4 linked regions of the Stegostoma tigrinum genome follow. The protein of the gene in region 2 interacts with the protein of the main gene of each other region in a biochemical or structural test. Links are inferred from orthologs where the notes say so. Each region holds a gene or a part of one and is shown on either strand. Other genes may lie near its edges.

Region 1 (6,995 bases), on a different chromosome or scaffold from region 2:
AATAGTGAGGTCCTAGGGGGTGTGGCCAAACAATGAGAGCTCGGGGTGTAGACTCAGTTCCTTGAAGCTAGAGTCACAGATAGACAGGATAGTTTAGTACTCTTGCCTTTATGGTCAGTTCATTAAGTGTAGGAGTTGGGAGGTCATGTTGCAGCTGGTCAGGATATTGGTTCGGCTACCTTTGTAATACGGCATTCAATTCGTTATTGCATTGAGTTCAGGAGTTGGAAGGTCATGTTGCAGCTGGTCAGGATAATGGATCATCTACAATCGGAATACCGCATTCAATTCTGGTCTCCCTGCTGTAGGAAAGATGTTGTAAAATTTGAAAAGGTTCAGAAAAGCTTTACAAGGATGTCACCAGGGTTGGAGGGCTTGAGCTATATGGAGAGGCTGAATAGGCTACAGGTATTTTCCCCGGAACATTGGAGGCCGAGGGGTGACCTTATTGAGGTTTATAAAAACATGAGAGGTATGAATAGGGTGAAGAGCCAAGGGTACCCTTTGCTCCAGAGTAGGGGAGTCCAAAATTAGAGAACATAGGTTTAAGGTGAGAGGGGGCCTAAGGGACAATGGTTTCATGCAGAGAATGGCACGTGTTGAAATGAGCTGCCAGAGGATGTGGCGTTGGAGCATGGTACAATTATAACATTTAAAAGACATCTGGATGGGTGTATAAATAGGAAGTGTTTTAAGGAATAATGGGCAAAATACTGGCAAATGGGGCTAGATTAATTTAGAATATCTGGTTGGCAGAGACAAGTTGGACCAAAGGGTCAGTTTCTGTGCTGTACAGCTCTATGATTCTATCTGGCCTAATATCTCCTTCTGTGGCTTGATGTCAAATTTTTATTCATGATGCTGCTTCAAAGTATTTTTGGTTGTTTCCTGACATTAAAGTCACCATATAAATACAAATTATTTCTGATGAAATCAGATGGCTGTCCCATCATTATAGACATGATTTTCCAGCTTACGTGGTAACAGCAGGGAACTCACAATCACTATTGATAATTTTATGGGAGTATATGGATAGCATGGAAAGTGGGTAACTAACAATTCAGTTTTGGCATAGACAATAGCAATGTGGTACAAACAATCCAGAAAATGTTGACATGGAATCAGGAATAACTTGGAAGACGTATGCCAATGTTTCCAAGAACATCAATTCTAGAATATCAAAGTACATCCTATATGCATTACAATTAAATCGAATCCCCACACAAAAATCAATGTCAGTAAAATCAATAGTGTCATGCAGACAAGCAACTTCAGCTTCGATGCAAAGCTGACTGAGAAACATTTACTTAAATAGCTAAGCTCCCATGTCGTGACATACTCAAGTAAGAAGAAAACACTTTCCAAAAATAAATGTTGTCCAATTAACTTGAAAAACATCAAAAGAAACTAAATAAAAAATTCAAAAGGTAGAAGACTTTGAAATAATAAAAGTGTAAAATCAAAAATAATTGAGCTATGTTAATGTAAAGCTTATATCAAGAATTTGCTTTAGATTTTCCACTGCTTTTCATTTGAATGTGAGCTTAGGAAGTATAGTTAGTAAATTTGCAGATGACATCAAAATTGAAGGTGTAGTTGACAATGGAGAAGATCGCCTCAGAGTACAACGGGATCTTGACCAGATGGGCCAATGGGTCAATGAGTGGCAGATGTAGGTAAATGTGAGGTGTTGCAATGCGGAAAGGCAAAGCAAGGCAGGACTTAAACCTTTAATGGTAAGATCTTGGGGATTTTGGCTGAACAAAGAAACCTCGGAGTACAGGTTCATAGTTCCTTGAAAGTGAAGTCATAGGTCGATAGGATAATGAAGAAGGCATTTAGTACGCTTACCTTTATTAGTCAGTGCATTGAATTTTGGAGTTGGGAGGTCATGTAGTGCCTGTACAGGACATTGATTAGGCCACTATTATAATACTGCATGCAATTCTGGTCTCCCTACAATAGGAAGGGTATTGTGAAACTAGGAAGGGTTAAGAAAAGTTTTACATGGATGTTACAAGGGCTGAAGGGTTTGAGCTATAGCGAGAGGCTAAATAGACGGGGGCTATTTTCCCTGTAGCATCAGAGGCTGAGGGAGTGACCTTATAGGGGTTTATAAAATCATGAGGGGCAGGGATTTGGGAGGTATAGTAAAGATCTTTTCTCAGGGTGAGGGGGTTGAAAGCTAGAGGACATAGGTTTAAGGAGAGAGGGGAAAAGATTTAAAAAGGATCGAAGAGGCAACATCTTCATTCAGAGGGTGGTGCATGTATGAAATGAGCTGCCAGAGGAAGTGGTGGATGCTGGTACAATTACAACATTGAAAAGGCCCTGGCTGGGTACATGAATAGGAAGGGTTTAGAGGGAAATAGAACTGGATATGTTTGGGATATCTGGTCAGCATAGGTTAGACCAAAGCATCTGTTTTCATACTGTTCAAATCTGTGATTCTATGTGTTTCTGTTTCAGTCAGAGATCACCTTGTTAAAATCAAAACTAAACTAAATATGATCTCTTAAGCTACCTTTCGGTTTGCGATTTTACTTAGTCCTGACAAGGGTAATACCCGAAACGTTGCCTGCTTCCAGCTTCCTATTTGCCTACCGTGTACAGCTCTATGACTTTTGTTGCATGCTATTAAGTACCAAAGCACACGAGTTCAGAGAAATTTTCAAACATGTATTAAGCAAAAGCATGACCAAACTGACGAGTTTACTTAATTGTTTCTGCTTGTTATTCAATTAAGGTATAACTATATGTGAAGATTAGTGTTAACGGAACAACATTGAAAGGGAGAGGGAATTGGTGAAGGACGGGTGCAAGCTCAACTCCAGACTCCCCACCACCGGCTTCCATTCACTCACCGTCTGCTGCTGTCCGCTGGCTCTGGGGAGCTGCGGCTGCTGGATGCCACTGAGGATTTCCTCCTGAAGGGGGGCCGCCTGTTCTCTTTCGTTAGCGGCTGTGCCTGACTCATGGTGCCGGTGTGGGACTGCTGTCACCGGCCCTGGGCCTCACTGATCCCTCGGGTCTCTTCTAAATACCCCTGTCACTCCCCTCCCCCACGATCGCTCCCCGATCCCCGGTCTCTCCGGACTTGGGCCTCTAACCGCCCCCTTGCGTTTGAAACTGCCGCCGCTGGAATGCGCCAATCAGCGCCCGCCTCGTCGCCGGGGCCTTCCGCCTCCGTAACCAATGTGAAGCCTCAATCGCGGTGAGAATACGCTCATCAGTGAAGGCAAGGATACATCAATCTATTAAATTCTCTGTGCAAACGAAATGTTTCCCCGAAGCTAAACTTCATAAGTAGCAAAACGTCTTAAATTCGCATTATTTTATATGTAACCATGTTCTACACGATATTGTTAGGTTCACTTATTTTGTATATTTCTGTAGATCAGTTCGAGTTCACTTTTTTTATACGTATTACAATTATGTTTTATACATTTAAGGTGTGGGAAGGAAATTTAAAGGAGATGTGAGGGGCAAGTTATTTTTGAGTGGTAGGAGTCTGGAACACGCGGTCTGGGGTGTTGGTGGACGCAGATATGATGGGGTCAAAAATGCAGAGCTGGAAAAGCACAGTAGGTCAGACAGCATCCGAGGAGCAGGAAAAGTCAACGTTTCGCGTTGGAACCCTTCTTCAAAAACGTTTTAAGGTGAGAGGGGAAAGATATAAAAAGGACTTAAGGGGCAACACGCTCTCTCAGACGGTGGTGCCTGTGTGGAATGAGCTGCCAGAGGAGGTGGTGGAGGCTGGTAGGTTTACAACACTTAAAAGGTATCTGGATGGGTATATGAATAGGAAACGCTTAAGGGGGTACGAACCAGATGCTGGCAAATAGGTCTAGATTTATATTGGCCATCTGGCCAGCATGGACGAGTTGGACTTGATGTGTTTCTGGACTGTATATCTGTATGATGGGAGTAAACCTGACTATGTTTAATCAAGGAAGTCAAGGTTAGTACCAAGCTGAGGACCTACAATGTGACAGTTAATGGTAGCCCAGAGAATTGGACAAGTTTTAAAAGCCACCAAAGGACAGTGGGGGGGGGGGGGGAAGAAGAAGTGAACACAAACTAGCAAGTAATACAAAAATTAGGAGTAAGACCTTATTTAAATATTTCAAAAGGAAGCATGAGGTCAAAGTGAACATGCCATAGGCCATTTAGATAATGAGGTGAGGGGAAACTAGGAAATGGCAAAAATCTTGAAAAATTCCAAGAGGTAATCAGGTTGCAATGGGTTCCATTCTTGAATCCACTTCCAAATTAATCTTTATGCATGTTGGAACATAATGCAGGATAATATAAAGTAGGTATTTGTAAATACAGAAAATGTTCATATGTTGGATCATTAAAATTACAACCATGTATAGGATTGCATTCATATGTACAGGTGATCATGATGTCAGATGTTTGTAAATTGGGGACCAACTGTACTTTAAATCAGTCTTCATGTTGAAGATTCTAAGAGGGTAAAAAAGGGAAGAAATGTAACTTGAACTAATTGGGCTTTTGGATCTGAGTTGAATCCTAGAGTATTAAAGGAAGTAGCTGGAATGGTAGTAGTCTTCCAAGAATTCTGGAAAGTTTTCAGAGGACTGAAGAACTGCCAATCCAACACCCTTACCCAAAAAAAGGAGATGAATACAAATAATAAGCCTTAGCTTAATGTAATTGGGAAGCAATCTGAATCTATCATTAAGGATCTAAAGCAAGACCACTTAGAAATGCATAATACAATTAAGCAGAGTTAGCTTCATAAACAGGAAATCATGCCTGACAAATTTGTTAGAATTCTTTGCTCTAATAAGTTAGAGGAAGTGTTATATATTTTGATTTCTAAATGGCTTTCAATAAGATGGTGCCTAAGAGCTAGTGGTGCAAGGGATAATTCTATTAGCATGGATAAAGGATTGGCTAGCTAATTGAATAGAGTTAGGATAAAGCCATCATTTTTCAAGATTGCAACCTGTAACTAATGGGATGCCACAAGAATGAGTGCTGGGGCCACAATTTACAACAACACTGGCTTGGGGAAAGGAAGTGAATGGAATATCAGTTTTCAGAAAATACAAGGATGATGTACTGTGTGTGGAGAGATTTAGACAGTGGGGGGGAAAAATTCTTATTTTTTCACATTATATTCCATCTGTAAGGTTATGCACTTTAGTGGGGAGATTAGAATAGCTGAATATTATCTAAAATGGCAAGATTGCAGGAAACTGCTGCTCAAGGATTTGGGATCCTCACTACTAAAAAGCTAGCATTCAAATTCAGTGGGTAGCAGGAATTTCAAATGCATAATTAGCCTTTACTTCAAAGGGAATAGGTTTATTTAAGAGGTTTTGATTCATCTATGAAAGATACAAGTCAGACCACAAGTAGAATACTGTGAACATCTTTGGGCCCATGATTTAAGCAAAGATATAATGACATTTGAGGCAGACCAGAAAAGATTCATTAGGTTAGTTTATGGAGGGATTTTCTTATGCAGAGAGGTTGAGTAGTTTGGGCTTGAATTTATTGGTATTTAGTAGAATGAGAATATTGAAACAGATGAGATTTTTTTTGGAGGCTTATTGGGGTAGATGCAGGAAGATGCTTCCCTTGTGGAAAAGACTAGTATCAGAGGGCTTAATCTCCAAGTGAAGGATTGCCTGTTAAAGACAGATGAGGAATTTCATTTGAGGAATTCTTAACCAGTCACTGCAGCATTCTGGGTAAAGTCTATTCAAGGCTGAGAGAGATTTTTCATCAATAAGGGAATCCAGCATTGAGAAAATGGCAGGAAAGAGTTGAGATCAGTTCGTAAATCCATAAGAAATAGGAACAGGAGTAGACCATTTAGCCCCTCAAGACTGCTGCACCATTCAACAAGATCATGGCTGATCTGACATTCCTCACATCCACTTTCCTGCTCTGCCCTCTCTCCATAGTCCTTGATTCTTCTACTGATCAAGTACCTATCTACCTCAGCCTTAAAATGTACACAAGGACACTGGTCCCAGAGCTCTCTTTTGGCAAAGAATTCCAAAGACACTCAAACATCTGAGAGGAAATTCTTCCTCATCTCAGTTGTAAATTGGTGCCCCTCTTATTCTGAGTCTGTGCCTCTGGCCCTAGACTCTCATGAGGCTCCACATCCCCCTCAGCACTTACCCTGTCAGGCTTCTGAAGAATCCTGTATGTCTCGACGAGATCACCACTGCTTGTTCTTCTAAACTCCAGTGAGTCCTAACCTCTTTAGCCTTTGCTCATCAGACAATTGAGTACATTTAAGACAGATAACCCTTAGCATCAAGAATGTGTAATTTTTTTGGGGGGGGGGGGGGGAAGCAGGAGAATGGGGTTGTGAAACCTGATTGAATAGCAGAGCAGACATGATAGGCTAAATGGCCCAATTTCTGCTGTCTTATGATCTTAGTCCCTCCAAAGCAGGGATCTTTCTAGTGAACCTTGTCTGAATTGCCTTCCATGAAGTAATATCTTCCCTCAATTGAGGGGACCAAAACTGCACACAGCACTTGAGTTGTGGTCTCACTATACCTTGTACAATTGCAGTAAGATTTCTGACTCATCTATTCCAACACCTTGAAATAGGGATCAATATTCAATTAGCATTCCTGATTAATTGCTGCATCTGTGTTAGCTTTCTCTGTTCCATGCACAAGTATCCCCGATTCCTTTGTGTTGCACCTTTCTGCAATTTTTTGTCCAATTTTGTTTTAGTTTTCCTTCCAAAAAGAACAACTTTAGATTTTTCCACACTACAGTCTATTTGCTAACTTTTTGCCCACTTAACCTATCAGCCTGTCTCTGTGAACTATTTGTATGCTTCTCACAACCTGCCTTTATATCTATTTTTAGTGTTGTCTATCTGTAAATTTGGTTCAGTATCTTCACTTCCCTCCCTCCGAGTCATTAATACATTATTAACTAACTCAATCAGGGAGAGAGCATGTACCCATTCTTTTGCTGTGAACTCTGTT
Region 2 (7,053 bases):
AACACCAATTTTTCATTCCTAGCTGGGTATGGAAGAAGGACATAGTGCACTGACATACGTAATCCTCTGAAGGTGTTCAGAAGATGGTTGTTGCATTTGGAAAGACAGTGTTTGATTAAGAGTAGTCAGCACAGCTTTGTGTGTGGGAGATCATGCTTCACAAATTGTTAGAGCTCTTTGATGAAGTGACCAGGAAGATTGATGAGGGGAGGGCAGTAGATGTAGTCTATATGGATGTCAGTAAGGCCTTTGATAAGGTTCCATACAGTAGGAACAAAAACAAAGTTGCTGGGAAAGCTCAGCAGGTCTGGCAGCATCTGTGGAGAAGAAAACAGAGTTAACGTTTCTGGTCTGGTGACCCTTCCTCAGAACTCAGAAAGTGGAGTCACAGGTAGACAGGGCAGTAAGATGGCTTTTGGCACAATGGCCTTCATCAGTCAAGGCACTGAGTATACAGTTAAGAAGTTATGTTGCAGTTCTATAGGACATCGGTGAGGCCACACTTGGAGTATTCTGTTTAGTTTTGGTCTCCTTGCTATAAGAATGATGTTATTAAACTGGAAAGAGTGCAGAAGAAATTTACAAGGATGTTTCCAGGATTCAAGGGACTGAGTTATCGGGAGAGGTTGGACAAGCTAGGACATTTTTCTTCACAGTGGAGGAGACTGAAGGGGGATCTATAGGAGTGCATAAGATCACGAGAGGCATGGATAGGGTGAACACACTCAGTCCTTTTCCCAGGATTGGGGAATCAAGGACCAGAGGGCATCAGTTTAAGGTGAGAGAGGAAAGAATACATGGAAACCTGAGGGGCAACTCTTTTACACAGAGGGTGGTACGCATATGGAATAGGCTGCCAGCAGAAGTGGCTGAGGCAGGTGCATTAACAACATTTAGAAGGCATTTAGATGTGGATAGAAAAGGTTTGGAATGATATGGACCAAGTGTAGGGAAATGGGGTTAGTTTGGATGGACATTTTGGTCAGCATAGACCAGTTAGGGTCAAAGGGCCTATCTCCATGCTGCAGTACTCTACAACTCCATAAAAGGCTGACTTGGTCCACATGCCTATTTCTCCATTCTTATTTCAAAACTACATAGTGTCTGATACACTAAATTGCATCTGTTGTATATCTGCCCATCTGATAGCTAATTGTGTCTCTACTATCTTTCACAATCCTTATTACAATTTGCAAAATCTCCCAATTTGGTAGATTTGTCAAATTTCAATGTGTCTATCATTCGTTATTTTATCGAATGGAAGTAGTGGCACAGTGACTAACACTGCAGCCTCACAGCAGCAGCGACCTGGGTTTGGTTCCACCCTTGGGTGACTGTCTGTGTGGAGTTTGCACATTGTCTCCCCGTGTCTGCGTGGGTTTCCTCCGGGTGCACCGGATTCCTTCCACAGTCCAAAGATGTGCAGGTTAGGTTGAGTGGCTATACTATAGTGCTCAGGGATGTGTAGATTATGTGGGTTACAGGGGGATGCTGAAGAGTTGGTGCGGACTTGGGCTGAAGCGTCTGTTTCCACACTGTAAGGAGTCAGCTCTAACTCTTCAACAGAGTTCCAAAGGAACTCCATCAACAACAATTTTTTCAGTCTGAGAAACTTCCTTTTCTCCCGACTCGTTATTTGTTGTCCACCAGCTCTCTATTCTTGCCAATGACCACCTTAATTCCATTTACATTAATTTTTGGCAGAAATCACTTGAAAAAAGTCAAACAAATCATCTTTCTTCAAATAATTTCGTACGAATCGGGAATCGCATTAATTTTAATATTCTTTGTCGAGTGTTCACGATTACCTCACCTTTCATTAAAGGAAGGTAATATCAACCCATGTTATGGATTCTAGTAGATTATCACTCAAAGGCAAATGTAACCCCTTGACCAATAAAATATTATAAACGGGACATAAAATAATACATAAAAGTAGCACATAGGAAGGATTGGGTTGGAAAGATACTACGCTGAGGGCTGGGGAGGGGGGGGGGAGCGTGTGAGGAAACTAAACTCTTAGTTTTTGTTTAGCACCTGTCCTAGTTTAAAGGCCAACATGGAAATTCATTGCACTGGAATCATAGCATTACGCTGTCCTGATTTATACTACTATAATTACATTTTCTATTAAAACACACAAGCTTTATGGATCGATTATATACGCAGCCTGAGCTGTAAAACCCAATCCAAGTTAATTAGTCAACAACCATACTTCAAGTGAGATTAGCCTATCTATAAAAAGGCAAAACATCAATAAAACATAATTTGTTTCTCCCTTCAGCTGTGTTAACAACAATTTATCATGTGTCCAGGCCAAACTTAATCTTGCTAGTTTACTCAAAATGTATTCTCCACAACGGAGAAACATAATCTGTGGAGCACGTGGGCTTTCAACAATAAATATTAAATGCATGTGAGAAACAAAAAAAAATTTGCACACAATAAAAATATTCCCAAACTTCTACTCGCGAGTTGTTGCTCTGCCTTTCCGTATGTTAACAGCTGGGAGAAAATTATCAGAAATCTTACACCCAAGTATCAAACAAGTTATGTCCGCTCGTGTCTAACTTGCAAACAGATTTAAAAATGCCAAGCACAATCATGGTAACTAGCAACCTCCGTCAATATTCACAGATGGTTGACCTTGTGTATTAATTAGCCTCAAAAATCAGGACGCTAAGATTAGAGATTTGACGAGTGAAGAGTCCGATTTTGTTCTCATTGGTTAAAAAGTGTTAAAACAAACGGTTACTCACGCCGAGTTGTACATTTCGTGCAAACTAACAAAACACACGTGGCAGGGAGAGTCCAAGAGAAAATAAACATCAAGTACTGTATTTTATAAAGATGCTACACTGCACCTTCTCTGTGAACCATTGTTGAGTTTCCTTTAAATCTCCACACTCCTACCCCATTATACCAAGGAGTGACTGCATTCATCGAGCGGTACTTTGCAATCGACAGGATTTGTGAGAATTTTCATTCGGCGCTTTGCTATCGTCTCCTTCCTGCTCCCAATGGCGCTGCTGCTGCTGTGCTGTTCAGATTTAATTCCGTTGGCAAACCCGCGACTGCTCCATTCAAGACATTCCAGCAAAAACAGAACCGGACTCAGACTGCCATCTGGCAAATTCCGTGCATTCAGACAGAGAATCAGAGAGAAGTGTTGTGTGAATGAAAGAAGATCAAGACAGGGCGCAGGAAGACAAAGGAATTGGGAAAAGTAAGAGAAAAACATGCTGACAGGTAGAAAAAACAGTAAATTGACGGATTTGAAAGAGACTGAGATGGCGATAAAGTGAGAAACGGAGCAAGAAAGAGAGATTAAAAAGTGAAAAAGAACGGAGATAAATAGTCAGGGGAGTTAAACAGACAAGAGGCCCAGATAGAAAGATGAGGAATAGTATTAACACGTACACGGAGAACATATGAGAGAAAAGCTAATATCTCATAACCCTTTAAATGGCAAAGTGTTTCCTAATTTCACTCCTGAAAATCCTATGTTTTAACACTTTGCCTATTTATTCTTGATTTCCCACTAAGGGAAAATATTTTGTTATGCATGCAGGCTTTAAATGTTTCAATTTTATAACCACTTGATTTTTAAACTTAGAATTCAATGCCAGCTTATGCAACTGGTCTTCATTTTTTTAACTCTTTACGCCCTGTAATCTTCCTGCTGAGTGTGTATGGTACACCCTTCAAAGAACAATATATAGTTTCTGAACTTTCAAGTGTCCAAAATTAAACATAATGCTGGGCTCCCAGTTGCTGTTTGACTAAGATTCTGTGTGATAAATTCTTCAATTTTGAACTCCAACATCCCTGAGTTCAAAGATGAGATTATATATTAGATTTTTGTGCCTGTTCAGTACTATTTGGAGATTTTACACATGTATCCTGTTTCTTCACAGTTTGTAGGCTTTCAATGTTAAGAAAGACACAGTGAATTTTCAAAAATCCCATGCAGATGGTCTCAGACATCCTCAGATTAAGCTACCTCTGCCAAAGTTTGTCTTAATCAATCAGTCTATTAATTTGCCTTTGCATGTTTGTGCTCCCACCTAGAATACTTGAAGAGTAATTCCAAAATGATTCCACCAATCTGCTGCATTCATGTGTTCGGTTTATTCCTCAGAGATATTTAGAAATGATACACTGGTTTGTATGTGTGTAACAGATGTTTCATTCAATGATTGAAAATGTCTGCTGAGATGCTGACAGCAACTTGACTCATTTTAGTCATTTTTTTAATCTCCAGTCACCACATCCAAGCTTAACTAATCAGTCACAGTACAGAAATAAATCAATAGATATATAATTAAAGTAGAAAAATGGAACATTATTGCTTCTCCCATTTGTTAAACTAAAGTCCTATATCAAATTAAACCACCCTAAGGAAAAAAGTGTACGTCATTCTTTTAGATTCACCTTGGCCACTTTCACTGTGCATAGCAATAACCTTTAAGATATGAAGGTGACTTTTGAGATATTGTCACTAAGAATCCAAAATTCCCTGAATGCTAGAAAGCTTCCAGTGCATTGGGGGAAAAAATGCTTATATAACACCCGTATTAAAAAAAGGGAGGGTGGTAAACAGTAGGAAACTATATACCAATTAGTTTAACATCAGTTAATGGGAAATTGTTAGAATCCATTATTAAGGAAGTAATAACAAGACATTTGGAATCAGATGGAGTTAGGGTAATTTATCAGTTTGGATAGAGGGTTTGCTTTCCAACAGGAAGCAAAAATTTGGGATAAATGGGGCTTTTTCTGGTTGGCAAGATGTAACTAGCAGGAACCTTGGTGTTTGGTCCTCGGGCTGTAACGATTAACAATCTATGTTTATGCCTTGGATGCAGGGATGGAAGGTTCGATAGCCGAATTTGCAGATAACACTAAAATAATTGGTAAAGTAAGTTGCAACAGTGAAATTAAAAAGAAAATGAATAGGTTAAGTAAATTGGCCAAAATCTGGCAGATTGTGTTTAACATGGATAAGTAAGAGATTACAGTCAGCAGCATAGAAAGACAATTTATCAAAATGGAGAGAAACTTCAGAGTGCTTCAGTACAGAGAGATCTAGGCACCCTCCTGCATAAATCACAGAAAACTAAATTGTGGGTACAGCAGATAATAGGAAAGGCAAGTGGAATTTTGGTATTTATTGCTGAAGGAATAAAGTGTAAATGTTGCTGCAATTGGTCAAGGCATTAGTGAAATTGCATCTAAGTATTGTACACATTTTTGGTCCCCTCACTTGAGGAAGGATACAGTTATATTGGAAGTAGTTCAGAGGAATTTCACAGATTGATTCCAGAGATGAGGGATTTGACTTATGAAGAGAGATTGAGCGGTTTAGACCTAAACGGTTCATTGTTTTGGAGAATGAGAAATCTAATTGAGGTTTATAAGATATTAAAGGGATTGACAAAATAGACTCCTCTTGAGGAGCAATCCAGAACAAGAGGCCATGGTTTTAAGATAAGTAGCAGCAGATTTAAACCGACAGGGCAGAATTGTTTCTCTGATACGATGTTGAATCTGTGAAATTCACTACCAAAATGTTTCAACCGGAAATGTTGACTTTCCTGCTCTTCTGATGCTGTCTGACCTGCTGCGCTTTTCCAGCTCACACCTATACACTCTGGCTTCCAGCATCTGCAGTCCTTATTGTCTTGAATGTCACAGTTGCTCATTGTAAAAAGAAATGATGTCATAGCCACTGACCTTGAAGTGTTCTAGTCTGCAATCAGAATGTTTCGTTCTATTTTTTGTTGTCACCCACAAGTGTCAGTACCAAACAACTATGTGATGTGTTTTGGATATGACAGAGATGATGCAAGTTTGCAATTGTGATTTCACCATTTGATGCAAAGTCAATCTCTAATTTCAAATAATCATTCCCAGCTTGCTTGTCAAAGTATGCTTTTGCTTTACTTTATTACTTTGTAATTTTTTTTCCTGCTTTTGCCCTGAAATTCCTGCTGGATAACGTTTATGATTTTGGAGTTGTCAATGGAATGCAAAAGTTATGAGCAGTTCTAAGTTCAGCAGTGTCTTTTCACTCAGTGTGGTGTAGATCGCTGTGTGAACAGAACATAAATGGATTGGTCAAATGTTCTCCTCTCTTGACATTATGACTCTCAATGTCCTCGATCACTCTGTTGAATACCTGATGCCACCATTCAATTGTGGTGAACTTTGTGGCTTGTTGGAACTCACTAAACTGTAAATAAACTATGGGCCATTGTCTGTTGTGATGGACTGTAGCAAACCCCATTTCGTAAACAATTTGTCCAGAAAAATCACTTCAGTCATTAGTTATTATCAAATTTGTTACAGCAGTTTCCTGGCAATTGCTATATTGATCATGAATCACAAGCAAAAATCTTGGAATACTAGTGGCTGCTAGCACTTTGCTGAAAGTATCTACTCTGAGTCATTGTCAAGTTTCTGTTGGGCCTGCATTCAGTTGTAGAGGTGTGGGACATAATTCTACATGTAAAATTGTGGCAAACTAACAGAAAGTATGTCCCTACTTCAGAACTAGAAGGTTCAAGTCCCACCTGCCTCAGATATTTATCATAACATTCCTGAGCAGGTTGATTTAAAAATAACAGTGGTACAATATTTAACTGAAGATCATGAGGCCTCTGGCTCAAACGCAGGTGTACCCTTTCATATGTAGCTTCCAACTGTAGTGGTGCCTGTCAGAAATTGTAGGCTCAAGTCCTGACTGCCTTTGATGTGTGTCATAACGTGTTTGAACAGATAGAGTAAAATGAATACAAACTACACATTTTAAAATAAATGCTTTTATATGGCAATCTGTTTGTAACCACCAGATCACAAGGTAGTTCCTTCATTTTCACATCACCAAGGTGACCTTTTCAGATGGGCAATATGCAATACATGTTGCCACAGATCTTTGGGAATAACCACTTGAGTTCTACATGCATTACAGTTGTCAACAAACTCTGCAAATTCATTGCATACTCTATAGCATAGGATGGGTTATTCTTCTATTTTGCAAATCTACTCAGT
Region 3 (6,857 bases), on a different chromosome or scaffold from region 2:
ATGTCCATCATGGGCCTCCTGCAGTGCCACAATGATGCCACCCGAAAGTTGCAGGAACAGCAACTCATATTCCGCCTGGGAACCCTGCAGCCTAATGGTATCAATGTCGACTTCACTAGCTTCAAAATCTCCCCTTCCCCCACCACATCCCTAAACCAGCCCGGTTCGTCCCCTCCCCCCACTGCACCACACAACCAGCCCAGCTCTTCCCCTCCACCCACTGCATCCCAAAACCAGTCCAACCTGTCTCTGCCTCCCTAACCTGTTCTTCCTCTCACCCATCCCTTCCTCCCACCCCAAGCCGCACCCCCATCTCCTACCTACTAACCTCATCCCACCTCCTTGACCTGTCCGTCTTCCCTGGACTGACCTATCCCCTCCCTACCTCCCCACCTATACTCTCTCCACCTATCTTCTTTTCTCTCCATCTTCAGTCCGCCTCCCCCTCTCTTCCTGTTTATTCCAGAACCCTCACCCCATCCCCCTCTCTGATGAAGGGTCTAGGCCCGAAACGTCAGCTTTTGTGCTCCTGAGATGCCGCTTGGCCTGCTGTGTTCATCCAGCCTCACATTTTATTATCAGGGAAAATTAGTACTCCACTTTGCAAATACGGACGTGGAGATTCTGGTGAATGGGAGGGTACAGGGGAATGCCATCTTCTTTCTCCTCCAGGATCAGACTAGAAGGCACAACACCAGTCCCTGCCACTCAGAGGTTGCCATGCAGGTCAGTACTATCTCTGTAATGCCCAGCAGTGTAACAGGAAGATTAATTACCATATCTGCTCTGCCATGGTAGGTCTGCCACTGTCTTCTCTCTGACAAATCACACTCACTCCAAATCTGCTACTGCACCTATCTCCACCAGTCTCATGGTCTACCACTCTCAATCTTGCATAAAACATTTTATCTCAGTCACTGCACAACACCCCTCCCCGCCAACGACCCTCAACAGCACCAGTAACCAACCAAACAACTAACAGCGCACAGCCAGTGTGCCCCTACTCACTCACTTGAGACACCCATATTTCTAGCAGCAACAGCTGTGCCACACACTTTCATCTCACTCAATTCCTCCCTTTGTCTTGTTCCAGGATAATAAGACTCATAATAGGGCAGACAGAGCTAAGGCAGTGGTGGGATGCCCATCATTTGGCTCCATAAGCCTACAAATAGAGGATGCTAGCGCTTGCTAGTGAGGACTGGAATCATACCTGTGGTGATGCTGAAAACATCATATCCTGGAGTTTGCATTGCTGTGCTGCTATCCTATTAACACCATGGTGAATGTGTCTGAACATGTCCAAACTTGTTCACGACACATTCTCACTTTCGACTCCTTCAGGTATAGGTGATATCAGCATGGTCTCGGTGCTCAACACCACAGCCCTTTAAGACATCCCCTCCACTCCCTCTGAGGTAGAACACATGGGTGCCTCAGAGGATGAACTGTCAAGGCTGCCATATGCACCCTCCACCAGCTCAGACACTGACACATTGGTGAGTATTTTAACTAGAACAGGGATTATCTACCTGTGAGTAGACCACCGCCACTTTGCCATAGCTGGTTGGGGGAAAAGGCATCCCAGGTTGCTGGCACTTAGAAGATTGCTGGAGAGCAAGTATTTGCTCAGCTGCAAGCAGGAGAGGAACCCATGGTGTCAGCACTTACAAACTTCATAAAAATGCGCAAGTAGACATAGGAGCAGCAAATAGGTTTGTTGGAAGTACTGGAGGGATTGACACAAAGGTTGCATGACTGCACTAATGCTGTTAGGATCCTGCTGCGTCTGGTATATGAGCGCCTGGCTGACAGCTGCCAGATCCAGCAGTCTCAGAATTTGATGGATACACACACAGGCCTTCACTTCCATCTTTCCGCTATTGTTGCTAGGCGACAGGGAACTTTGGTCTCACTCAGTTTTTCCTTCCTAGTCAGCATGTAAATGGAGAAAGAACCACATAGAGACTCTCTAGAGGCCTCCTCTTAGGACACACCAGTCAGGGGACCAGGCCTTACACTTCTACATCACCTGCCACAATCCCCCAAGGCATGGAGGAGTTTAAGTTGATTAGGGTGAACGTCTCTCTGATCACGACACTCACAGCGTATCTGGACCTTGAGATGCTAATGTTCGATGGGGTCACCAAAGCAAAACTCCAAGATCAACAGGCCGCACTGTCGGTCAGGTTCTCTCTACCCCAACTACAGAACCCGGGACTGAGTTGTACTGGGAGAGAAGGAAAGAAGAAACCTTCTCTGGACACACACCCCCGAACACTATGGGCAATTTTAGCATAGCCAATCCACCTAGCCTGCACACCTTTGGACTGTGGGAGGAAACCAGAGCACCTGGAGGAAACCCACGCAGATACAGGGAGAATGTGCAAACTCCACACAGACAGTCACCCAAGGTTGGAATTGAACCTGGGCCCCTGGTGCTGTGAGGCTGAATTTCTCAGGCTCACCACTCCTTGGATGAAGAAATGTCTCCTCATCTCCGTCCTAAATAGACTACCCTGAATAGGTTTCGTTTGGAAATTTGAATTGTCCAGTATTACCATTAGCTGGATTCATAACAAGGTAAACACAGAGAAATGAAAATAATGCATGTAATGCAATACACGCCCCGACCACTCTCTGAGTAAAGAACCTACCTCTGACGTCTCCCCTATATCTACCTCCGCTCACTTTAAAAACTATGCCCCCTCGTAATAGCTACCTCCACCACTCAGAAAAGTCTCTGGTTGTCCACTCTATCCACACCTCTGATCATTTTGTACACCTCTATCAAGTCACCTCTCATCCTTTGTTGCTCTAAAGAGAAAAGCCCTAACTCTCTCAACCTTTCCTTGTAAGACATTCCCTCCATTCCAGGCAACATCCTGGTAAATCTCCTCTGCACCTTTTCCAACACTTTAACAGGGTGTATGCTGAGCTGGTGTGATTCAGCTATGAAAAGACACTAAATATGCTTGGCATTGTTTTCCCTGCAGCAGAGGGCGCTGAAAGGAGTTAGGTGTACAAAGTTTTGAGGGGCGTAGCCAGGTTAGGTAGGTACAGGTTTCCCTCTCGTAAAAGGATCAGTAACCAGGGATCATGCGAACTGCAGATGCTGGAGAATTCCAAGATAATAAAATGTGAGGCTGGATGAACACAGCAGGCCAAGCAGCATCTCAGGAGCACAAAAGCTGACGTTTCGGGCCTAGACCCTTCACTCTCTGATGAAGGGTCTAGGCCCGAAACGTCAGCTTTTGTGCTCCTGAGATGCTACTTGGCCTGCTGTGTTCATCCAGCTTCACACTTTGTTATCTCAGTAACCAGGGAGCAGCTTTAAGGTAAGGAGTGGGAGGTTTCAAAGGCATGTGAAGAAAGATGTTTCCACCAGAGGGCTGTATCTGGAGCTCACGACCTATAAAGGATGGTAGAGATGTGAACCCTCAAGACATTTAAGAACTATTTAACTGACGACTTGAAATACCACAACATTCAAGGTTGAGGGCCAAGTGTGGTAAATGGGATTAGAATAGATGGACGATTAATGACCTGCTCAGCTACGATGGGCCAAAGGGTCTCCTTTAATGTTCTTCGATTCTGTGTGCATGTGGGATTAGATGCCCCACGAGTTGTAATTGTTGGGGACTGAAATATGTCCTTTTTAAACTACAGTGTGAGATGGACACCAGCAACGACATTATTATTCGTTTGTTTTCTTTTTACCTTCGATTGCTTTAGACCTTTTTGTTCTGATGGCTCTAGAGCAAACCCAGCCGACGCGTAGTTGTTTCTCAAAAGGAAGGTATACGCCCACTATTCGATATGCGCGCCCAAAGCTTCAATTTAAGAGAATGAAGTGGTGTGTATTGGTACTCTCCACAGCTTTCTCAGCGCTGCAGAGGAAGGCTGTCACTCCACAACATGACAACCGAAACTCCCCGTCCGCAAGGCGAAAGCCTCCAAGTTTTCAAGGGGACCTTTATCCATGCCACTGACACTTCCCCAATGGAAACTCTAGCCCCTCGTATCCTGGGAGTAAACGGGATGGGAAAGGTGAGAACTCGTGTTTCAAATTTCCCGTTTATAATACTGCCAAATCGGTTGTTAAATTGGAATGTTCTTCAGGGGTCCGCCGAACGGTGCTGCATGATTTGAGTTTTTTTTATATATAAAAATGGTTACATGCAGAAGTAGCAGTTTTCTGTCCCTGATCCAAATGTCATAGTCAGCTGGCTACTTGTCACCCGGGCGGTGCGGGGGCTCACTGGTTAGCGCTGCTGCCTCACAGCGCTAGGGACCTGGGTTCGATTCCAGCCTCGGGCGACCGAGGTTTGCACTTTCTCTGTGTGGGTTTCCTCCCGCAGATTGTCCATAATGTGTAAGATGCCCGTGAGGAAACAAAAACAGGAAATTAATAGAAAAGTTCAGAACGTCTGCCAACATCAGCGGAGAGGAAATCAGGAGTAACGTCTCAGATCATGGGGAAACGCCAGGCAAACGGGTAGGGGGAGATGGGATGCTCTTCAGAGGGTTGACGTGGGCTTGATGGGCCAAATGGCCTACTGTTACACCACAGGGACTCATCTTGTCACTTGTAAGGTTTAACAACCCAATTTGTGTGCAAATCTTTAATTTTATATTTACATGTCAGAACACAATACAAGTTCCTCAATTAACTCGAACCCAAGGTTCCAACACATATGCAAACTGTAAATAAAACAAAGAATCGTGGATGCTGGAAATCTGAAATAAAAACAGAAATTGCTGGAGAAATTAGATTTGCGGCAGAAATGGGTGGAGAGAAAGCAGATACTGATGTTCTCCAGCAATTTTTGTTTTTGTTTATAATTTAGGGAATTGTATTTGTACAGGTTCCGTGAGACAAATTCTAGTCGTGGTATAATCTCGGTATGAGAATTTATACTCTCTAATAAATACCAAGTGTGGCTATACAGTTGTTAGCTTTAGTTTTCTCTCTTTGATTGAGAATCCAGAGTCCATAGTTCATTACACGTAAAACATAAAAATATGCAGATACTAAACCGGTTCTGTACAGTCTTTACTTTCCCCCGTCTTCTGGTTTCAATTATTTTATTATTCTAAAAACCATGGGAAAGTAGTTTGGCAAATAAAATGCCATGAACTAGGCACATTGTCAAATCTCTTACCATATCTCCTCAGTTAGGACCAGTTAGTGGAGAAACATAGAACTATACAGTGCAGAAGAAGGGCATTTTGCTCATCATGCCTGGCCAGCCCTTTAGTAAAGCTGTCTAACTATTTCCACTTCCTCTGCTCTGTCTGAATGACCATTGCAAACGTTTCGACTTCAAATATTTATTCAACTTGCCGTTGGAAATTATTACTGAATCTGGTCCAACTGCCCTTTCAGGCAGCACATTCTGGGTCACAACAGCGTACTGTGAATTTTTTTTTTGTTTTCTTTGCGTTACAATGGTTCGTTTATCTACCATATTAAATCTGCGTCCGCTTTGATAATTGACTCTTCTGCCACATGAAACATTTATTCTGTATTTACTGTAACGATTTAAACATCTCTGTTAAAAAACCTGTTTGCCTGATCTAGTTGAAACAGGATAAGACGTAATTTTGGAATGACTCACCCAAGTTGAATTTGGCAAACTCGTTCACCATAGTCTACTCAGCGGAATAGGTGGAAATAAAAGGAACAAAAAGAAGTTCCACATCATCAAAGCATGTTATTTCCAGGCGTAATCATTTACTGCTCTTGGCAAATGAAACAGAAACCAATTCCCTATTTCACATAAGTTACTGTCATATATATTAACAAGTTTTACACCTATTATTTATAGAAGTATTATGATTGTGAAATGGATATTGTAGATATAACTGATTAAGCAGCAACATATAAAAGGCTTGTGCTGAGATTTAAGAGGTGATGGAATTTGGAATCAAAATTATGAATTGCACTGATCTACAGAGATATGTGGGATCTATTTGAGTAGAGGTTGCTTGGTAGAACAGAACTTGAATGTTGTTGAAAAATGAGAGATGGTTTTATTGCAAAAGTACACTTTACTCATAAAGATAATTTTTTAACGTACATACACAGATTCTAAAGATGTTCTCTACGGCCTTTGCATAAAAAGAAAATAAAACAAATATTGAAATCTGGTATTCCCTGCAGTTGCAGAAACCAAAGGCGTTTCCTACTCATGCATGGCACTACTTATATTCATCTTGGGGCAAACAGAGGATCCAATAATTGAGCAGGCTCCTGTGCTGTACTGTTCTATGTTCTGTCTTTCTCCAGGCCTTCTTTAAAAAGGCACATTGCAGAAGGAGAGAGTGACAGCCTGTCCTAACCCCACTAACAGCTGCTTTAAGGGCAGTGTGCAGTGGAGCACAGAGACTGGGTATGCAAAAAGGATCTGATGGGCAGTGCCCTTCCCACCACCGGCTAAGCGATATCTTGGTGCTCATTGGAAAATTCTGATGATGAGGAATTCTGTGAAATGACTTTTGACAGTCTGCTCAGGGAACCATGCAACAGGATCCTTTTCTTGAGTGCACTACTTGTTGATCACTTCCTAATGGACTTGTGGTCTAAGGTGTTTTTCTTTGCAGATTTTTCCATGAAGGACAGGTGATATAGAACAGCCCAACTACTTGGAGCATTCTGTGGTGCCAAGGCCAGTCCCATCTCTTGCAAAACTGGGGAGAGGTAAAGCAGTGACACTTGCTGCTGCGTTTGGAGGGTCTACGCACAGCTTGATGCAGCCACACACAAATGTGGCCATCAGGATGAGGGCAGCATTGGGTATGTCTTTCTCCCCTTTATCCAGAGGTTTGTACATTTGTAACCCTGTGGACACGGT
Region 4 (7,501 bases), on a different chromosome or scaffold from region 2:
GGAACAGAACCACCCTCCTTGCACTCATGCAGCATCACCTGAACATGAGCAATCATAAAAACTGGGAAAAGAGTTGGACTGTATTATGAAATGGCTGCAGTCTCGAGATTGCACGTTGGATTTCCAGAGCCTTCACGTTTTTCATCTCTTCCCTTTCAAGATCTGTGGACAGATTGAAATGCTTTCCTAAAGCCAGAGGTGTTGTCATTTCCCAATCCAAGGTTTCTTATTGACCACCACATGCTTTACGTTTCACTCGTATGACATTTGCTATTTCTGCCACAGGTGTGTTGTTTGCATATGTCCCAGTGCACTAAAATGACATACAATTGTGAAGATCACCACTGAAAAATAGTGCCCGTAACTGTCTTTGGGTAAAGCTATTTGGTATAAATTGCAACCAATTTGGAAAATTGATACTGCCATTTCCTTTGCAATTCTTCTGTGAATTCTATTAATTTGAAGGATTATTTTCTTAATGCAGAACTGTACAGCAGAACGCAGATTTTCTAAAACATACAAAGTTATTAAATTTTTCAGGTATTGATTTTTGACAAACTTAGTGTCGTAACGGTTTCTCAGTCAATACGAATGCCTCAGCTCTGAAAGCATGGAGCGCATAGCGACTGTTATTAGACCTCAAAACTGAATAACACCACCCAATCAAGTTTATGGTGTATAATCATTTACAACTGATTCTATCAGTAAGCAGTTTCAAGGTGACAGCAAGAACTTAAGACTTCACTATATTCTCAGTTAGATAACAAAAGAGCAAATTTTGAAAGCACATGGGAAATTAATCAGCATTGAAGGAAGACTGATTAACTTTCATGTCATGTTGAAAGGCCTTATCAGAAACACAAACCTATCTTGTCTCATGTAGATTCTAAGCCAACAATCTGTTATTTTGCAACATTTATTGCTTTCCTTAATCACATATTTCAAATCTTCAGGATTTGTGAGGGCTTTTTTAAAATCTCGATGTAAATGTATTTCCTTCCTTCCAGGAATCCATCGAGGTTTCTTTGTACAAACAAGCAAATATTTTTCTATTCTTTCATGTATTGCAATACAAAACAATATTTTGGTCATGAACCATATGTTCTGCAGACTGGTGGACAGATCCCAATAGTAACAAATACTGATAATACCCAGGTCTTCATGTGCCCAGTGAGTAAACTGTACTTCACATTTGTTTAATTCTACTTCAGGAACTTAAGTGTTGGAAAGTTGCAGACAGAGATTTTCCATAGAATTGCATATGTTCAGTGCTCAGAGAATTCCAAAGCAGATTCAAATGATTCACAATAACTGAAAACTTGATTAGTCGATTTATTTTTCATATCCTTCCTGCCTAAGAAATACCATGCAACGTGTATTTTTCATTGTTATTTTAAAATATCCATAAGTTGTGAATTTGCCGTTTTACGAAGTCACTTAATATAATTTGAGAGACAAAGTTGATCCCTACAGTGAAACCCATTACATCGAAATGCAGGGGAAAAGCTGGCGTTGGAAGGTATCTTCTCATTTGCGTGATCAAACCTGAAGAATTTCTGACAGATTATAATTAACAGTAAACTAAAGATCATCCAGCAAAGGCGCGTGCAGTGACATTTCTTTAAAACGAGTGCCTGTTTGTAGGGTGTACACCAGCGGAGAGAATGTTTGTATGTTGTTGAGAGAGGAGGGGTAATGAGAATTATCCACAGACACACAGTGCCATTGCTTAATGCGAGCCCAAACTCCCTCGCACCCAACAATTAAAGTGTCAGGAATATCTGCTGGTTTACATCAAAATAAATGCCAGACTCAGAAACATCAGCCGAATTAAAACTGACATTTGCTCATGTACCCATCAGACACAAATACGACCATCTGAGCATTATTCAACACCGGAGCATATCAAACAAGTAGCTTTGGCGACGCTAAAAATGAATTCAACTTTTTTTCGACCAGGGCATCAGCGATAAAGGACAGTTGATTTATCGTTCTGTTCCCCCCCCCCCCCCACCCCCCACGTAATATTCAGCACACTGGAAAAAAAAGATTCAATATTCTCCCACAGTTGGGAAGACATCGAAGTGTTACTGTTAATAAGCCATCAAACACCGGCTTCAAGACTTCTAAAGATCGAAATTGGCCACTAGTAAAATGTAATGAAATCATTCTCCAATTTTCCACCAAGCTATAATTCTTTTCCCACTTACACACCCTTTTCACTGCATCTCTATTATCCCCGAAGCTCGACAACCTATCTGCCTGTAACCATTACACTAAGACAGCGTTAGTCATAGGGAGTAAAAATGCTGCTGCTCCTAAAAATGATGCATCGTGTCTTCACGGCTGTCCCTGTTGTGGCTGTACATCCAATCGAGCGGATTCCACGGGACGGGGAGCTTGCAGTCGCTAATGAGCAGTGGACAATATTCAGAGGATGTATGAGGCACGCTTACCTTGACAGCTTTGCGATCTTCACAAAGCTAAACACATCCATGCATGCAGAAAGCTCTTGTGTCCTCACTCCAGCTCCATAATGTATCCTTATTCAAATCGACTGGGGCTACATGGAGAGGAACGGCTTCCCTTTCCTCCTGCTCCGAGATTCACGGGTCCATCCACTCCGGCTTGAGGTAACATTGGCTCTCCCTGAGAGATCCGGCGTTCAGTGCTCACATTCCCCCGCCACCAATTGGCATGCTCCCACTGACCCCTCTTAGCCCCTCAGTCAAATGGCAAGCCACTGGGAGTGGGAGTCTCCGAGGCAGGCAGCAACTCCGAGGATGCACGCAAAATCACTCCTGCTGCTTGCTTGTCTCCTCTCGGGTTTGCTCCAATCACAGCCAACACTTGATGACAAATTAAAGCAAAATCTTTTTTTTGGAGGGGGAAGGGGTGTAGGGGGAGGCAAACGCCGCAGAAGAAGCAAAATAAAACCTAGTGCTCGAAAGGAAAACAGCTCGCTTTAGACAGGTGCGCTATCATTCTGACTCCGACCTGTACAGGCTCTCGCCTGTTAAAATGCACGGGAACATGATGCTCGCTTAAGTTCTTCCCTCACTTCAGCGACTGTTTCCCGTCTGCAAAACTACATATTTCCCACTACACTTAACCCTCGAGAGTTGTTGTGGAAACTGCATATGAATAGATCCTGCTGCTTGGTGAGCACAAGTCAGAATATTTCTCTGCGAGTACACAATGGCAATTTGACCTTTACAATTTAATTGACAGATTCATGAGTTCCGAGAAAAATAACGAAACATTGCAACAAAAGGATAGTTAAAGAAAACACGGTGATAAAGATTTAATTAAACATCAATCTTGCCTAGACAGAAACCTAGTTATCTTTCTATAAAACTAATTCTCAAGGTAACTTCATACAAAAGGGTACACAGTGCACCGGAAGGTTCAAATCTTTATTTACGTTAAACAGAAGCAGCTTACAATTGTTTTATATTAAACATTGCTAAATTCAAATCCTTTCTTCATTTTAAAAACTTGGTTGAAATGACCAGTCACTGTCAAAAGTTTTGTTTTCTTCATTACCCGGGCTGACACCTGTTCTAAGTTTCTAAAAGTTGTTATCTCACAAACAGAGGATTTAAGATACCTCAGAATTCTCAAAGACTGGCATACCATCTCAATGTATATTAAATATGTTGCTGCAATTAAAGGATGCCAAATGTCTGCAAGATCGTAAGTGTGTGATGAACAAAGAAAAGGAGCCAATATGAGCCCCTCCAGCTAACTTCTATCCAATAAGATCATGGCTGATCCATGTTTTTTTTTCAAATTTTACATTCCCTGATAAATTTTGATTCCCTTGACTAACAAGAATCTGTCTACCTCCACCTTGATTTTATTCAACAAGCCCACCTCCATTCTCCTCAGATGCCAAGAATTCCAAAGCCACACAACCCTGAGAGAAAAGGAATCTCTCCGCAGCCTTATCCAAAAAGGGTGCCCCCAATTTTAAAACTGCCTCACAAAAGGTCACATTCTTTCCATTGGCCACTTGTCTACACCATTCGGGATTCTATACACTTCATTCATATCACCCCTCACTCTTTCAAACTCCAATAGAAACAAGTCCAGTCACTGCCCAACCTATTCTCAATCCACTCATTCCATCATTCAAGCTAATAATTTTTCCCTGAACTGCCTCCAATGCAGTTGCTTCCCTGCCTAATTAAGGTTAGCAATACTGCACGTCACCAATACCCTGTGCAACTAAAGCACAACATCCTCACTATTACGTTCAATTCCTCTCATAACAAAGGATAGCATCAGCCTTCTTGACTGCATGCTGTTCCCACATACCATTGACTCATACACAAGAACACCCAAGTTCCTCTGAGCCTTGGAATTCTGCAATCATTCTCCATTTAATTGTTTATATTTTAACTGTTCTTGCCAAAATGAACTTAATATTTGCCCTCATTATACTGCATCACCAGATTTTTGTACACTTACTCATCCTACCTATATCCAACCACAACCTCACGTCTTCTTCACAACATACTTCCCAACTATCATATGGTGATCTTTGTATTTAGCTACTATGCCATTGCTCCCATCATTGATACAGGTTTTAAAAAGTTGAGGGCCCAGCACAAACACTTGTGGGACTATACTGATCATATTCTACTGATGGGTCAAAGGTCCATTTATATAAACTCTCTGGTTTAATAAGGCCATTAGATGCAGAAGCAGGCAATAGACCCATTGAGTCTGTTTCATTATTCAGTGAGATTATGGCTGACCCGACCATTTTCAGCCAGGATCGCAGCCAATTCTGCAAGCGTCTGATCTTCTACAAAGCTACTATATTAATTCCTATGAGCATTTATATTCCACAAGTACAATATTCCTCCAATCACAGGAACACCACTTGGGATTACATATCATTCTCCAGTTAGACGAAGTTTGGGATAGAAATGGAGTTGCAGTTCTCCGAGAAAATACATTACAGAGACCAGAATTAACCCACATGGGAAAGCTAGGTTCCTTTCCCTCCACTGTACAACTCCCTGTATAGTCAGAAACTCAACCTTTTATTTTTGCTCCTGAAATGAATCAGTCAGTGACCAATTAATGTCAATGCACATTCCTCCAGGATTGGAGGCCAGACTGTCAAAACTGGAAAAATTAATGGGAGTAATTTTCAGTGAACATGCCTGGCTTCCTGATTTTTCATTGACCTTCCTATGTTAGTCCTTATTGTGTGGGTTACATTAAGAATTCATCAATTAGCCGCTGCACTACTGATGCAGGACCTCTGCCAGGATTTTTTTACATGTGTAAACAACCGTGCCTGCCACTGAACATGTCTGTGCTTTAACCTGAGATTGCTGCCAATTTACAACAGATAGAATTACTCTGGATCATTAACTATGGCCAGTTATTTTTGGATCAACTGATGTTTGGGCAACCACATATTAAAACTCACCTGGAAGTCTGCTTCCAGTTTCTCTCAAGTTGTGTGGTGAATACACACACTTTGTAATTTTATTGGGACCAATTTGATACATTAGTCCATTCATCATGAATCATCCACATTGCTCTTCTGGCTGAAGGTAGATGCAAAGTTCTTCAGCCTTGTTCCACAGTTGAGGAGTAGAGCCTTATCCTCTGTTACTTAGAAAATTGCCCATCCCTGTTCACACCTAGTTGTGGGAGAACTGCAAATTTTAAATCTGACCATTTGGATGACTTACGTCTGCTTCTGTTCATTGGCAAATAAGTAATTCTGTTTCAGATTCCCACCAGGTTTATACTTTGTTTTCAGGTATGCCTGGTGCTATTTCTGACAAGGCCTCAATCAGTCTTTTTTGAACCAGAGTTAATCCTCAATTTGATGGTAACAGTAGATTAAGGAATATGCTGGGCCATGGAATTGTGATTGAACTCTGCTGATGGCTCATCACGTTTCACAGATGTACTGCTTTGAACTGTCAAGATCTGTTGAAAGTCTGTCCCAGTTAGCATGGCACAACACAATGAAGAGTATCCAAAATGTGAAGATGGGCTTTATGCCCAGACAGATTGCATGATGGGCGTCATACCAATTCTATCAATGGCCCATGCATCTGAAACAGTTTTAGCCATGTTAATGAGGCCAGGTAGGATTTTTCTTTCTCCTTGTTAATTCACCTACCACTTGCTGTAAATGCAGTCTAGCTTCTATGACCTTCAGAACTCAAAGCCTAGTCAATAGTGGAGCCACTAAGTTAAGGATCAGACCAAAACCTCCTTCTAACTATTCAGAAGGTAGTTAAGACCCTAGCTTTTTCTTATTTTAAAGGTAAATGTAAGGTGTTCATTCCAGATGCAATTTGATTGGTTAAACCACCAGATTTAAAATAGAACACCCTTTATTCATGCACTATAGTAAAAATACACGAGAGAGGACGAATTGGATCAACAACTCTCCTAGAAAATTTAACAGAACAGTAGATACAGTAACTATTAATAATTACCTGTTCCATTATAGTAATACCCCATAAACACACCCTTAACAAAATGCAAATTCAGAAGACAGATTGTCTCACATTCAATCCTATCAGCAAGAAAGAGCTACATGCAGCAGCGCCCCAGAGAGAGACGTCTTTTCCTTCCACAATTTCAGTTCACACCTACTAAATAAAGCAAAACCTGCAAAATCCTGGGCATGTATGTCTCGACGGCGTGTACTTCTATTGTTCCAACTTTTGGAGAACACCCAACGCTTCACAAATTGTTTAACGCCACTGACTGCTTAACACCTATTCCTGCAACTTCTGTCTAAAAGAAACCAGGACAAAACACACCTCTTAAAGCCACAAGCAGAGTACATTCTGGAGCATGCCCAGTCTCAGTGCTTCTTTCCAAATTGTATTCAACATGAAAAAGTACTGGTTCACCAGCTGACAGGGGTTAGTCAGTGGTTATCAGCAGGATGTTACCTTGCCCATATTTGACTTGATGCTGTGAGATTCATGGTGTTTGGCTACTTGCTGACACTAGTTCAGAACATACACAGATTTGGCTGTGGTTGAGTCTGGGGCTTGGTATTTCAACGATTGTCAGTGATTCAATGCACATCTCAGATTGTTGCTTTAAGTCAATTGTGGTAATGCTCTGTTGAACTTGGCACAAGCCTGAGGTGGATTTGTTACTCTCATTTACAATGCCTTTGTCAATGTTTGGTGGTCTCACTTTGTTTTATTCATTTTGACTTTGTGGTGATACATTACAACTGAGCGAGTTACTAGGCCATTTCAGAGGGCTTTTGGGAATCTGAAAAACTGCTGGGAATCTGGAGACACATGCAGCCAGATTGGACAAGAACAGCTGATTTCCTTCTAATGGCAGTCATTGAAAACTCATCTGGCCACTAATCACAATCACCAATGGCTTCATGATCATTGTTATTGAGGCCCACACACGTAGAGCGACATTGGTGCCAAATGCAGAGGCTTGGTGCTCTTGGTCACCTATTGTATTTGTGATCAAGGAGTGG

What was found.
Region 1: the proteins of dlg3 (region 2) and net1 interact in a test that uses a peptide from one of them, tested with the Homo sapiens proteins (2 studies listed by IntAct, with this or other methods). The link is inferred for Stegostoma tigrinum from reciprocal best matches to the Homo sapiens genes DLG3 and NET1.
Region 3: the proteins of dlg3 (region 2) and gda form a complex in vitro, tested with the Homo sapiens proteins (2 studies listed by BioGRID and IntAct, with this or other methods). The link is inferred for Stegostoma tigrinum from reciprocal best matches to the Homo sapiens genes DLG3 and GDA.
Region 4: the proteins of dlg3 (region 2) and frmpd4 interact in a test that uses a peptide from one of them, tested with the Homo sapiens proteins (2 studies listed by IntAct, with this or other methods). The link is inferred for Stegostoma tigrinum from reciprocal best matches to the Homo sapiens genes DLG3 and FRMPD4.

What each region holds. Positions count from the first base shown.
Region 1 is NC_081378.1:11,121,470-11,128,464, reverse strand, and holds the start of net1 (neuroepithelial cell-transforming gene 1 protein), read right to left. Parts: upstream 3,026-6,995; 5' UTR 2,978-3,025; coding exon 2,865-2,977; intron 1-2,864. UniProt on the Homo sapiens protein: Acts as a guanine nucleotide exchange factor (GEF) for RhoA GTPase. May be involved in activation of the SAPK/JNK pathway Stimulates genotoxic stress-induced RHOB activity in breast cancer cells leading to their cell death.
Region 2 is NC_081368.1:39,704,917-39,711,969, reverse strand, and holds the start of dlg3 (disks large homolog 3), read right to left. Parts: upstream 3,026-7,053; 5' UTR 2,944-3,025; coding exon 2,865-2,943; intron 1-2,864. UniProt on the Homo sapiens protein: Required for learning most likely through its role in synaptic plasticity following NMDA receptor signaling.
Region 3 is NC_081356.1:29,512,481-29,519,337, forward strand, and holds the start of gda (guanine deaminase), read left to right. Parts: upstream 1-3,834; 5' UTR 3,835-3,918; coding exon 3,919-4,050; intron 4,051-6,857. UniProt on the Homo sapiens protein: Catalyzes the hydrolytic deamination of guanine, producing xanthine and ammonia.
Region 4 is NC_081365.1:63,272,087-63,279,587, reverse strand, and holds the start of frmpd4 (FERM and PDZ domain-containing protein 4), read right to left. Parts: upstream 3,004-7,501; 5' UTR 2,498-3,003; coding exon 2,457-2,497; intron 1-2,456. UniProt on the Homo sapiens protein: Positive regulator of dendritic spine morphogenesis and density. Required for the maintenance of excitatory synaptic transmission. Binds phosphatidylinositol 4,5-bisphosphate.